2 linked regions of the Styela clava genome follow. The protein of the gene in region 2 binds, or shares a complex with, the protein of the main gene of each other region. Links are inferred from orthologs where the notes say so. Each region holds a gene or a part of one and is shown on either strand. Other genes may lie near its edges.

The links. Proteins that work in one complex are often made in the same cells at the same time.
Region 1: eukaryotic translation initiation factor 3 subunit M-like (region 2) and eukaryotic translation initiation factor 3 subunit H-like share a complex: the UniProt entries of both Drosophila melanogaster proteins name them as parts of the eukaryotic translation initiation factor 3 (eIF-3) complex. The link is inferred for Styela clava from reciprocal best matches to the Drosophila melanogaster genes eIF3m and eIF3h.

The regions. Positions count from the first base shown.
Region 1 is NC_135257.1:9,053,718-9,060,770, reverse strand, and holds the start of eukaryotic translation initiation factor 3 subunit H-like, read right to left. Parts: upstream 3,093-7,053; 5' UTR 2,967-3,092; coding exon 2,916-2,966; intron 1,739-2,915; coding exon 1,585-1,738; intron 1,191-1,584; coding exon 1,023-1,190; intron 896-1,022; coding exon 796-895; intron 148-795; coding exon 1-147. Other genes in the region: uncharacterized protein LOC120345504, read right to left, coding at 5,063-5,390, 5,536-5,709, 5,899-5,989, 6,244-6,344, 6,456-7,053. UniProt on the Drosophila melanogaster protein: Component of the eukaryotic translation initiation factor 3 (eIF-3) complex, which is involved in protein synthesis of a specialized repertoire of mRNAs and, together with other initiation factors, stimulates binding of mRNA and methionyl-tRNAi to the 40S ribosome.
Region 2 is NC_135252.1:4,104,827-4,111,768, reverse strand, and holds the start of eukaryotic translation initiation factor 3 subunit M-like, read left to right. Parts: upstream 1-3,851; 5' UTR 3,852-4,017; coding exon 4,018-4,059; intron 4,060-4,408; coding exon 4,409-4,541; intron 4,542-5,174; coding exon 5,175-5,313; intron 5,314-6,094; coding exon 6,095-6,218; intron 6,219-6,935; coding exon 6,936-6,942. Other genes in the region: large ribosomal subunit protein uL15-like, read right to left, coding at 580-751, 1,360-1,435, 1,502-1,565, 3,296-3,298. UniProt on the Drosophila melanogaster protein: Component of the eukaryotic translation initiation factor 3 (eIF-3) complex, which is involved in protein synthesis of a specialized repertoire of mRNAs and, together with other initiation factors, stimulates binding of mRNA and methionyl-tRNAi to the 40S ribosome.

The DNA.
Region 1 (7,053 bases), on a different chromosome or scaffold from region 2:
TGAGCAAGATTCAAATAATTAACTTTTTCCGGTACTGGATCTTCATCTTTTACTTTAAACAACATGAGTCCAGTAAGAGGTGAATTTTTGATTTTTATAGGAACTTCCTCATATACATCTGTGAAGCCCAACTTCTGAGCTTTAAGGCTTAAAATAAAGTAGAAATCACATTACCTTAGCTGAGAATAGTACAATAAAATACCGGCAACTATGAGAGAGGTTTTATCCAAATCCAAACTAAACGAACAGCTGAGAGTATACTTGACAGACAAATAAGATATGGACACAGGACACTAGTTTTTTTTGTACTCCTGAAGTATGTGAACCAAGATGGCGGACACCGGTACATAGTATGTTTACCAGTTAATTTCAACTACAAATACTACGGGAGTCACTTGGCTAGTCCTCGAGCCGATATAACTAAATGAGTAAAATTGGAATAAAATTATGGCCTAACCCTCCCTTGGAACACAAACTACGTTCCGGTGTCCGCCATCTTGGTTCACATACTTCGAGAGTATAGATTATTTGAGATTATCCATGTAATGGAGAAAGGAAGTTTGAATTAGAAATAACAAAAATTATGAGGTGATTCTTTGAAAACAATCGAAGTAATTTTCTAACAAATGACAACAACAGAAAACAAAATAGAAAATAGTGCATGAAGTAAATGGCTAATATTTAAAACCAATCCTATCATACATATTACAGTGTATGGGCATATAGCAACCTCCACACTACTGTTATCATCACAGCAATAGTTATTATCTCCTTATGAGTGTAACATATATTTACCTTTCTACTGTAAATTCACCAGCTTCATACAATTTCATCATTTTTGGAGTAAGACGGAAAGCTTTTAGTGAAAGATTTCCTTGTCCTGTTTTCAGTGGATCTAAATAGGATTTTTATGTCAGAGTAAATACATTATTTCATACACAAAAAAAGAACATTAATTTTTGATACATCATACATTCAATACATAGAAATCCGAACATTAAAAGCTATATAAGAAATCTTACCATATATTAGGACAACAGATTCTTCAATGGCATTCTGATATGAAAACTGGGATTCTAGGAAAGGTCTGTTGATAAAATTTCCATGAAATGATGATTGATACCATCCAACATGTAAATGATCTATATTAACATGACGTAAACATCTCATCATATCCATCTGATATTGAACTGTAAAGGGTATAATAAGTATCATAAGCTCTGCAAAACTTTCATCGTGATACTACAACATGTAATTCAAGGGCTTCATTATATTGCTAGTTTTTTTTTCTGAATTTGAGTAATTAAAAATGTTTAGTTTGATAGGCCTACTAGTTTTATATTCATGGGATTCATAAGTTGAATAGCAAAATAAAAATAAATAGCGAAAATAACAAGAAAAGATTGCGACTTGGACTGTAATCCCTAGTATATTAAAAGAAATAGTAAATATATAAAAAGATAAAAAAATTAATATCAATGAGAGTATGCACAAACGAACATCCCAAGCCCTATGAAACTTAATATCTCAAAAAAATAATAAAAACCAAATTAAGAAAACAAATTATTTAGTACTGTAACCAACCTTCATCGAACTCTGAATCTTCAGGGACACGAGGAAACGGAAAACAGTTGGTGACTTCTAAAGTCTCCCCAACAACAAGTCCAAGTAATACTCCCTGCACAAGTTCTGGTCCGGTGTTGTCCTCCTCACAGTGTTTGATTATTTTCATGACAACCTGTGTTATAAAATGAAGTACATAAATCTTGGTGGTATGGCGTATCGTGCTAAGCGTTACAGCAATAGGAATACGCTCACCACCGCACCTCTGATTACCCTGCGTGGGTTCTCAGGTTCAAATCCTGTTGGAGATAATTAAAAGGATTGCTGGAATCCTGGGGGCCTAGGGTGGTTAACATAACCGCTTCACATTTACAGCTTCCTCCACCACCAAATCTGCAAGTCAATGTATTTGAAACAAATAACAGGCTAACAATCCCATACAACATGGACTGGTAACTGGACGAGAGGCTGAGGTATGTTATATGATTAAGCCGTCTCACCAGATTTCCTCTCCCCGAGATAAATATATGTAAATCCTAATAAGTCATTTTATGCAATTGTGATGTCTACTAGGGTCAGAGGCAGTGGTGAGCTGTAGCCGGAACGCACCGGAAAGGCATTCCAGTTGTTGGACATTTTATTGCATTTGCGTTCCTGTTGTTGATTTAAAATTATGGTACAAAAAGTCGATTCCTCTGGTAATCTTAGTTAATTAATTCATGTTTTGTTACATCATAATTCATAATTCTTTTTACATCACATCACGCAAATAATTAGTACAGCAGTAGCGCGTCATAGATGTTTTCCGGACCATTGACCCCATAGAAATTCATTTTATACCTTTCTAATAATAATGTTTGTGTTGAATTGCTATTAATATTCTTGTAATTTTACACCGACATATTTCAGATAATTTCTTCATATTTCCTTGCAGTCCTTCGGCTCTATCTTAGGACAGACAAAACTTTCTGTAAATGTTCGCGTTGTGTTGCAAATATATATAGGCCTATTACATTTTTGCAATTAGGTGCGTTCCGGTTGTTATGATTTTTCCAGCTTATCACTGGTCAGAGGGTAGACTATACACTAAAGACATTATAACAGTAGAATTATTATTTTACATGCAGACATACCGGTAGTTACAATGTTCCATTTCCTACACCTCTTTAAATATACAATAGAGGTCAGGCATACATAGACTACGGACATATGGTACGGTACCGTGGACTGGTGGAGTTTTTGCAGGGTACCGATACCGGTATTATTGAGTGTCAACCTTCTGAGTTTTCAAATATAAAATTGAAAGGCATTAACTGTAACGATTTTTTTATCTAAAAAAAGCAACAACTTACCAAACCATCTATCTGAACATTTTTAACCGTTGCTCCAATTCCCAAATCCATCGCAAAGAATCAATGAAAAAACAAGGGAGACCTGCGATTAAAACTACAAAAGCCTGCAACGCGCAAAATTAAGCAGCTGTAGTGTATGCCAAAGTGGCGTATGCGACCGTGACATGTGTCTGTAGTATCACTGTTTGGTGAAATGGCGAAATCAAACTGTATCCCATGCGGATAAAATTTCAGCTTCAATAAAAGTTGAATACGATTGTTGTGCAAGTATATTGTGATTAAAACACTCTAAAAAGTTTAATTACCCTTTATAGTTTAGTATTTTGTAAAATGAAATTTTGACGATTAGCAAACCTATTCACACATCTGAATTTATGAACTCGTTATTCCCCGGTGGGAAATGTAAACAGTATTCCGCTGGCGTCTCACGAGTACTGTTTTTTATTGTTGTTCCATGTGCCGCGTCCGGTAGCGTATTTTCGACACGAAACATTTAACCGACCAATCGTTTCTAGGAGCCAGCGCTCACTGGTTGCATATTGTTGAGGGGGCGTCTGTATAATCCAGGAGAAATGCTAAAGGTAGATATAGATAGTTTAGGTACGACTAAACTCTTGACTTTTTGATATTATAGCCTTCTAAGCTAAGTTATACAAAACTCATCTATTTACAGCGATTTGTTGGATAGGCCGTTTTCCTAGGCTAGCTCCTTGTGCTATGCAATGAAAATATATATCTTTGTGCTATGGCTGTGAAACTGTGCTAATCGTAATTTTGTTGTTTTTATACAAATTTATCCTACAGTGGACAACAAATATGATGGGAGGATCACTGTCGAATCATTTCATTGTGCGTGGAGTCGTGGAGTGCGTGGAGACAATATGACTTTAAAATCATTGCCAGATGATGAACTTACAGTACAGTGAAATACTGCCAGAAAATGACAAATCCCATATTCTAACTTAGGGTCGTCCAACCTTTTTGACTGAAGGGCCACATTTAGTTTACTATTAAGTGCGCGGGCCACTGCAATTAAAGTTTCTGCTATAGAATTCCCAAGCTTTTCAACAAGACGAGAACCGTCTGTCTTGACAAGCCTATTTTTGCAAACGCCTTTTTTTTATTTCCGGACATGAAACATTGACAACCCGAAAAATACATTTCTTAACGAATTTTCAATCTGGGGCTAGCTCGCTTTTATGTATGTGCTATGGCTTTTATGTATATACGTAGCGACTATTGCATCTTGAAAGGGGTGGCAGAGCGCATTTCAGGAAAATAAGCATATCGTTTGTATCATATCTTTGCACATTACATCACTCGAATGATAAATATACTCAACTTTTTTTTTAATGAATTCTAAAGAATACAGCGCGGGGCACTCGAAATACTTCCGCGGGCCACGGGTTGGACGACCCTGTTCTAACTGAATCTAACAACCCTTATCTAGTATTTTGCATTCTCAGAAGAGTCATTTGGACAGAGAGCAGTTTGGTTTATATCACGAAAGTTGGTAGTTTAATCTAATAGCTGAAACACAGCCGGTGCCTGGAGTTCAATTGTGAATTAAATATTTTTATCTGAACATAGCATTTGCTGTTGCTGTAAAATATTAATGCCAAAATCCACATCGAATGAAAATATAGATGTTTTATTGAAGACGCCATTACGCACAATAATTTTACAAGGAGATATATGAAAAGCAAGTTATCCAGTTTAAATGATGATAAACCACGTTCGGTACCAACAAACCACAAGACAATAGTTCGCTGCGAAAAACATTATTACGTCCCGGTATATCATACCTGTACGGTGACTCCAAAATGTCGGGTACCACGTGTCCCACTTCTCCTGGACACGTGGTACATTGGGGCACGACATTTTGGAGACACCCATTACTGTATATACCATATCGTTCATTCTAAAGAGCAGAGACAATTTAATTCATACATTATGATCGAAACGGCATGGTTGAAAAGTGAAATTTTGCCGGAACTGCAGAAATGACATGTAAAAAAGCTAGTAATATATACAATTTATAGTGTTTATAAAATAACAATATTGTCAAATTTATAACAAATAAAAGAAATCAGCCACATGTCTACAAGCTTCGTTTTACTTAATTCAGGCCATCTAGATCGGCTCTATTATTGTCGCTTTACAAACGCGTTTTCTCTGCTCATACCCAGTGGGTTCCGAATGCCAAATTCGTTCGGATAAAAACATCCTCCATTGTCAAAGTATCTACCATTGTTCTCGACAAAATCTTCAACTCCGTCCGTCATTTCAGATTCTCTATAAGATGGTGGGGGCATTCGAGGAAAGGTGCTCGGAGCAAAATTGACCGCTTTGCTCAGTTTTCTGTATGAATTCTCTGATTTCAAACTATGATTAGGCCTTGTTGTCCTCTCAGATATTTCCTCTTGATCACGTGATTTGTCTGAGGCAGTGGAAATGGGTCTTTCATGATAAGGCCTGCATAAAATGATTTATAAAAAACACTGCAATTCTATTGCATCTTTCTAGCTTATGCCTTATTCAATTTTATGGTCCAAGTCGGACATAATTTCATAAGAGGGGCTAGGGCTTGATTTGCTTGGTAAAATTTATTACAAAATACCTGTATTGGTTCGCATAAAAATCCGATTCTTCCTTCTTTGTGTCACTTTCATTTTGCGAGTGTTGGTGTACTGGGGACGGCGTGAAATGTCGGCTATAAGAAAGTACCTTTGGAGAAGGAGATTCTAATGAACCATTGTTATCTAATTGCAAAAACGTGTGTCCGTTTTCTTGCCTGTCAATGTATAAACGTTTCGGATATATAAAAAACGTTTCCAACCAATGATTTGTGGTTTAGTACCTAATATAAAAACAGCTATGAGATTGTCTCTATTCGAAAAGTGTTAAAATAATAATGAATTGGTAGTGAAGACAAAAAGTTACTTAATAAACTAGGCGAAATGAGACACAATTGTGTATGTACCTTCTAGCAATCTGCTTCGTAACATTATCCTTCAAAAAAGTTTTGCTTTGTCGACTTTTGTTCCATATTGATTCACATTTTGGAGAAGAATCTGGAAAAGTTGTAGGTGATATTTTCACTAATATCATTTTAATGATGTACTGGCCAATACTACACCATGCCTGTACAAGTTGCAAGAGAATAGTTGTCCAGTTTATTAGATTTAGCAATAGGATTTTTAGGCAAAGCTTACATTCTGTCGTAACTATGAAAATTTGAAGTTATGAATCGGCATGGTTTTGCAAAAATATCATTTAAATTTTGCCTAAATCGTCAATCTCCTCGTGAAGCAATATATAAACTCACTTCCATCAGGTTCAGACCGAGTTACCGGTTTGTCAACAAATGGAGTTCCTAGCCGATTGTTTCCGACAGATCTCTTGCCTCCTGGCGAAGGTGATTCTGACCTGAAAAATTCCGTAATAATATATGCATAAACATGAAGTTGGCTATGTAATCCAAACAAGTTAGAAATTCCGTTTATCTTGCAATGCTTCCATGACCTATGGACTTTTTACCTTCGTCGCCTTGGAATGACTTGGAATGTTTTTCCTCCATGCTTTGTCTTCGGTAGCTCTATGATGCGATCTAGTTGCGTATCTTCCATCAGAAGATGTGGAAAATTGTATTTCCACACGGGTTGCCAAGGGGATTTCAAGTCTTTATTTCCGGCAGGTGACGGTTTCTTTTCATCAGACGGTTGATGCAGTGACATATCTTTAGCGACGATAGACTTCATTTCAGGCATTGTCTTTTTGTTCTGCACAAGTTCCCAGGGTGATCGGAATTTAGGTTCCAAATCTGCAACTTCATCTGAGCGTTTTGTATGCTTCTTGTTTGAGGGGCTTGCACCATAGTCGGGTTTCTTGGCGTCCTCGTGCGCATAGGGTGGCATTTTATTTCCAGTGTTCAAGTTTGGGCTGCATTCTGAATCCATGTATTCATCTGCATACATATTTTCGGCAAAATAGTAGGGATAACACGCAGGATAGGAATCATTTACAGGTAATCGTTGACTACTTGCGATGTGTTCCGGGGCGCCACCTTGAGACAAATGCTGATCTTCGAATTGAAGGCCTTTGACGTAATCATGATTAAAAGGAAACCTCCCGTGAT
Region 2 (6,942 bases):
TATGATCTCGCATGACAAAGTCTCCAATTTTCCACGTTTTTTAAAAAATAAAAAAATAATAAAGAAAGATAATGTCGCAAAGCAATAAGCAGAAGTAGCGACAGCAATTGTTATTTAGATATATGTTTGATTATTATTTTAGAATGCATAAGAGCAGTTTGCCCATCTAGAATGGCGGGCCATGTAAGTATGACATAAAAGTTAAATTTTATGAACAAAAAAAAATTGGTGTTACAAAAGCGAAAAAGCCTTGTGACGAAACTAAATTAAATCGCAGTCTCAATAAATTCCTCGAGACATTTTTAGCTAAAACATCAAAATTTGGTTTTAGTTGATTGTGGCAGCCTCAGGCGGACCACATTAAATTACCCAACGAGCCGGAATTGGCCCGCAGGCCGTAGTTTGCCCATTTAAGCATATTGAAAATTACCACTTTTGTTTCTTATGGCAAAAAATGTTACTCAAACAAATTGGTAGGAAGTTCATTTACCTCAAGATTCCTTTCAGTTCAAAGCATACCGGTAATTATTAACAGATCTTTGTCACAGTAATAAAAAATATAGAATATATATAACTAACCGCTCGGACGACGTCTATAACTGGAGCAACATCTTTCTTATCCTTGTAGTTCAGCCTAGTTTGTTCGCTGACAAGTGACCACAATCTGTCGAGGTTCACAGTTGGGCAATACTGCTTGTTACGGTTCATATTGTAAACTCGCATTCCAACCTTACCGAAGTAACCAGGATGGCTATAAAACAGTAATAAATCCTTATATTAAAGTAATAATTATATTTAATATCTACAAAGTAACACGGTACACAAAAAACTCTTGCCAAATAAGACAATCATCCAGTGTTGGTGTCTCGTACCTCAAGCACTCATAACGATTTTTTCACAAGTCAATCATAACCCCCACCTGACTGCGTCACCCAAAAATTATGTCACAACCGTGTCATAGAGCTTGCCAAGGTATACCTCTGATCGCCTGTAATGGCATCTGCGCCGACGATGAAGAACTTACTAACGGCAGATCTCTCTCACATTGGGATTGTTGTGACGCATAAAATAGCTTGTTTGATTTCAGTTAAAAGTGCGCTTCTTGGATGACAGTTCGTATAGTTTGAAGGGCCTTATAAAATCATCGTGACTAATTTTTGGATGACAGTCAGGTTGAGGTTAGGATTGACATATGGAAACAATTTTCAAAACAACTAGAAGTACGAAAATACACTAGACCCCAGTGCTGTACATTCTTTGTTTTGGCACACAAACGTTAGTTTATCAACACAAAATGTAACAAATAAATTAACGTCCACAAACATTCAGTGAAAGTAAAAAACTAAATTCTGATATTACAATTTATCATAATTGATTCTGTGGTGATGTTGTCCACCAGCGTTTCCTCTACCACCAGGATGCTTGCGATGTTTTCCTGTAATCAAGATGCAATGTTATATTTGAAGTTTTGAACAATTTCAGAATCTTTTCATTCACTTACCAACTCTACCATGGCCGTGGCTCACATGGCCACGTAACTTCCTCGTCTTCTTGAACCTGGAAACCTACCAAAAAGAATATACGCTATTAATTTGTAGTAAAATATTTCATACTCAGCATAGACCGCATCTATAGACAAAATTTGGGATATGACTTGGTGGCGAGTATAATATTAAATTCATCCAGTGAACTTTGTGATAGCCCCTTTCAATATTATGAAAATGAGGACCTCCCACGGAACAGCAAACCACTAAAAAAATGATGACTTGAAAATGAAGCATTTTAAAGATAATACTAATACACAAATTGGATATTTAGGGATTTGAATTTCGTTCAACAATGTCCAAGAGGAATGTTACCTGCAGTCAATTTTGAATACAACCATGAGTCAGTCCATTACTGGTAGCAAACCATTACAGCATTAATAATTTGTGCGTTTTTAATACGAATGGCACCGACGAAATAGGATTCTTGTGTAGTTTCGTTTGTATGTGTCATTCCAAACCCCCACCTGCAACCTGACTACGCCATCAAATATTACATCACTGTGCTTCACAGTGACGTAATAAGGCCCTCCGAAATATACGGATAACCATCCAAAATTTAAGACGATTACCCGAAGTCTGGCAAGCTTTTTCTCTTGTTGTCTCGCCGTAGCTATGCCAATTATGACAGGGATCGCTGGCGTTCGTTATTGTCAGTACAGCACACTATACAAATTCCAAAAATTTCCCTCCATTTGGCTCTATAAAACAAACACTATGTGTCTCACAAACAAGTGGCGTCTGGGACCACGTCAGATGCGTCATATCACACCATGGTTCTCTAATAATAATATAAGTTAATCGCGGCCGTCACATGACCAAAATTGCCGTTTTTTGCTAAAAACTCTCGAATGCTACTGTAAAATTTTTTTTCCTTCAGTAAATCGATCGTCTTTTCCCAAGGAATACAATGATGACGTTACTAGATTGCGCTTTTTTATAGTATTCAGCGCAACTTCATTATACTGTATTATTACCAATATTGAGGGACAACAATGTCCAGACGTCTCCCAAAGGAGGGGTGTTTGATCATCTGTAAAATGGGTTTCCCTGAAATGGGACAATGTCACCCGAATTGTATAATGTGCCGTACTGATTGTGGGCAATCACTGGCGTTTGAGCAATCAAGACGAAGTTCTCGGACGACGTAGTCAGGTGGGGGTTGGGAATAAAATATGCAATGACAAGCCCAAATAATAAAAAACAATGATACAGTAATAAACAACACTCGACCAAGAAACACCACTATTTAATAATATTATCCATGTCTCAGTGTCCTGTTACCACTTTATTCAGAACAAAGGGTTATAGACTATATAACGTTATACATGATTTCTGTATATACCAAGTATGTTGATAAATTATACTGGTACCATACACAAGTTACCAACAATGGTACGTCTGCACACGCAGCAGCATAAGTAACTGCTTCATCAGCTTACTTCCAAACATGAAGCTTTGCCCCAGATTATGGCAAGTTGTGGGTTTAGTTTTACGACAAGAACTTGATTTGCCCCAGATAGTGGCAAGTTGTGGGTACTATTTCACGTATGTCATAATAACTTTGTTCCTGTGCCAGTACTCAATGAAGATCAGTATTATCTTCAACTGACAGATTCAGCGATGATCAAGACCTTGAAATTGATTTTCTTTTTAAATGAAAAAGATGATATAAACAATTCGCCGTTTATAAACTGTGATACAATCAAAAACTGAAACGATGTCAATGGATATAAATATAGACCGCTCACCATCGCGCCTCCCGTAACCAAAAGGCAGATGAAGTCGATTCGTTTTAATTCGTACAAGAGTCAAAAATCGATGACCCGTATCGATGACCAATAAAGTTTGTTAGTCTTTTTTCTTGCACCTAATCATTTGATTGTTTTTATTAATTTTTTTGATCTCAATTTTTGACTCATATATAACATTTTTCGGTTTATGTCAAAAAAATATTGTGAAGACTACTTTCACATTTCACGAGTCGCTTTTGCGGCTCATTGTGCGCATTGACTTCGGCGACGAGGCGCATGCTTTTCGACCGGTGCTTTTCACGATTTTCTATTTGAGACGCTAAAAACTGCCAAATTGAATAAACCACATTGTGGAAACATAAAAAAAATAAGACTTTCATATTGAAATATTATCTTCCACGTAGATATTATTTTTCATGTATATATATATATATATATTAAATAATGAAATGATTTATTTGAACATGAAATTCACAATGTCGTTACACACATGTAACATGACCAGCATTTATAGAAGATTCAATGTTGCGTTTGAGGCGTGGAAGGGACATGAAAGTCAGAAAGTAGGCAAGGAAGCAAGGGTTTTTAGGTTTAGCAAAAACAAAACTAGTAATTCAGTAATTACAGAATAACCTGATCAAAGTAGGTACGGTAGCGAAGTTGTGTGTTGGAAGTGGAAAAAAACTTGTACTCTTAATTTCAAGGTTAAATACTGAAATATGAGTGTTCCAGCATTTATCGATCTTCCTCCTGCAGATCAGGTAAAATTTTAATCTGTTTGTTTCAGTATTTATACTTATTTTGATGTTTCTTTATTAAAGATGTTCTGCAGTTGCCAGTAGTTTTCGTATGCTTTCATGTTGGGTTGTCAAATTTGTCATAAATTCAGTATTCAGATATTACACAAATACAGAAATAAGCTGATAAAACCCTTGGCACCTTAGCATGTTAGCAGAATCCTGAGATAAGTGATTAAATGCAATCAATTTATGATTTTTATTCTCTAGCAAGAATATTTCTTAATTCGATAAGTAATTTTTTGCAAGCTTGCAGCAGTATGGTGTGTGCTGTATTGAGGACTTGAAGTTAATATTTTGTCATTTTCTTTAGGCGAAGGAATTGCGTGAGTATCTAAAGTCAATTGGTGCAGAGATTGATATTGAAAACAAAGAAGATCTTTATGAAAATGTCAGCGAGATAATTAAATCAACAGAAATTCTTTGGAAGAATTGTGACATCAGAGGTATATATTCCAAGAGTTGTAAAAATTTTATATGACATGACATGACCCATCGTAAATTTGGGATTTGTCAGTTTGTTGACATGGGTTTTAGAATGTTTGCCCTCCATTAATTAGCTACAGGGATGGTGACTCCTCTACGGCCCATGGCCCATCTAATTGGGCCCATGCCCCATCAAGAAAAATTCAATTATCTTGCCAAAATTTTTAATATTCGAACCAAACAAAAACACGGGATGCCACCAATTTTTTTTTACAATGAGCCTTTATATAAAAATAAAGCAGAATACCAAGCTACAGAAAAGGATACTCCTGTAGTATGTGTACCAGGTTAGGCTTAGGACAAAATTTTGTTCATATTTTTAACATTATAGTTCTATTATGAGTTCAGGGACTGTCTGTGTTAGCCAAGTGAATAGTCCCTTCACACAACTTGATGGGCTATGGCCCATAGCCTGATGGGCCGAGGCCCAATTTGATGGGTCATGGCCCCTGCCTATGGGCCGTAGAGGAGTCACCACTTTCACTCTTAATCAGAGCCTTATGAACTATGTACAAGGTTTTGAATAATATTCCCAAATAGTGTATATTGTCAAAACATGTATTCATTCAATTTGTTTTAATGTATATTTGCAGACATTGAAGGAGTAATAAACAGCATTCTTTCTTTACTTTTCGTCATTCCTCCTACAAATTGTACGCCACTGATAAAAGTTTTGTGTGACCAACTGACCAAAGCTGCAGAATTTGGCAAAGCGTCTCTCTCTATGCGATTGTAAGTAATATAAAGAAATTTTTGCAATGCAATTAAGAGTAAAAATATTACTAAAGAATGTATATTTTGCACTATCATCCATAATCCATGAAGTGTTTCTGGTTTGAATAATATCATTTTACAGATAACTTTTCAAACTATGGGCCATTGTTTCTGGGTTAGTTTATCTTGATATCCTCATCAGCCGTTTTGTCATATTTCTTAAGTTCGTGCTTCCTTAGTTTCATTTTTATATCCTAATGAAATCTATCCAATTCAGATCCTGGTTTTAATGTTCCACAATGTGGATTAGTAAATAATATCTATCAATATATTTTTGGAAATATTTGTTCTCATATTTAGTTCGTCGTCTAAACGTTGCAACCAAGCTCTCACTTATCCCACATTTGTCATAATCTTGTCACGATTGTTCTCATTGGAATATCGCATTATATATGGATACTCCAACCTACTGCCACAATGTTATATTTATTCAAACAATCACATAACATGATTTCCACGTCATATTATGCTTAGTTTAACCATTTGTCCCACAATGCATATTTACCCTAACACAAAGCAGTGTGGGACAAGTGTACTGAAAATGGGACAAGTGGGACACAATCAATACCTTTTGGTCTCCCATAGTTATTCTTGTTGTTTGGATAAATGTGAACATTTGTTTTTTTTGTTCTATGGTTGGAATCCTTTTTTTGAATGTTCAAATAAATTGATGTTGCTTAACTATAGTTGTCTTGTTTATTTAGAGAAAAATTTAAAAATTAATTTTACTACTTTACAGATTGCATAATTTCTTTCATGGTTACGACATCAAAACACCTTTTCTTTATGATACATATTGTGCGTGGTTGAAAGTTGCTGGAAGTAATGGAAGCATTAATCTTGTTCCTACCGATTTAAAAAAGGTATGATCTTAATTATCATGATTTATTCAATAAAATATTTACGGTATGTGGATTCTATGAATAGTCATTGAAACATGCATAGAATAGTAGAAAAATTAAGTAAACACTGGTAACTGGAGTAATGGGAACCTAATTGAGAATATCTTTATATGAGATATCATAAAACTAGAACCTGTTTGAGTCCACTTTGAAACAGTCCTAAATTTCATAGAAATTCTAGTAATAAGTTAGTGCCTTGACTCGACCATAATTGAATAAATGAGAGATATTTCTATGCTTGACTGAAGAATTCTAATCTCGATTGTGTTAGTAAGCAGCAAGCAAGACTCTTGTAGCAAATAGAATTGTCATTTTAATACCTCCTGCTGTAGCATTATTTGCATAAGGATCCACTAGCACAAAGGCAGAGAGTTGCATAATTCCAAATGACAGTTATAATTGGTGTTTGGAATGAAAAATTAATTTTAATTCAATTGTGTTAGTATAGCATAATAGTTCATTATTCAATGGAAGTCTAAATAATTTAATTTGGTTATGAATATACACAAATTTGAATTTTCATTTAGTTACATAGTTCTATTTTCAAACTTAAGAAAACTCACAATTTTTCAAAAATTAATTAATTGCTTGAATTTAATTTCAAAATGAATTTTATTGGAATTATTTTGGTTCTCCTATTCTGATTTTACTGTGTATTTCCGCATATACTTTCTGTAGGTTAATT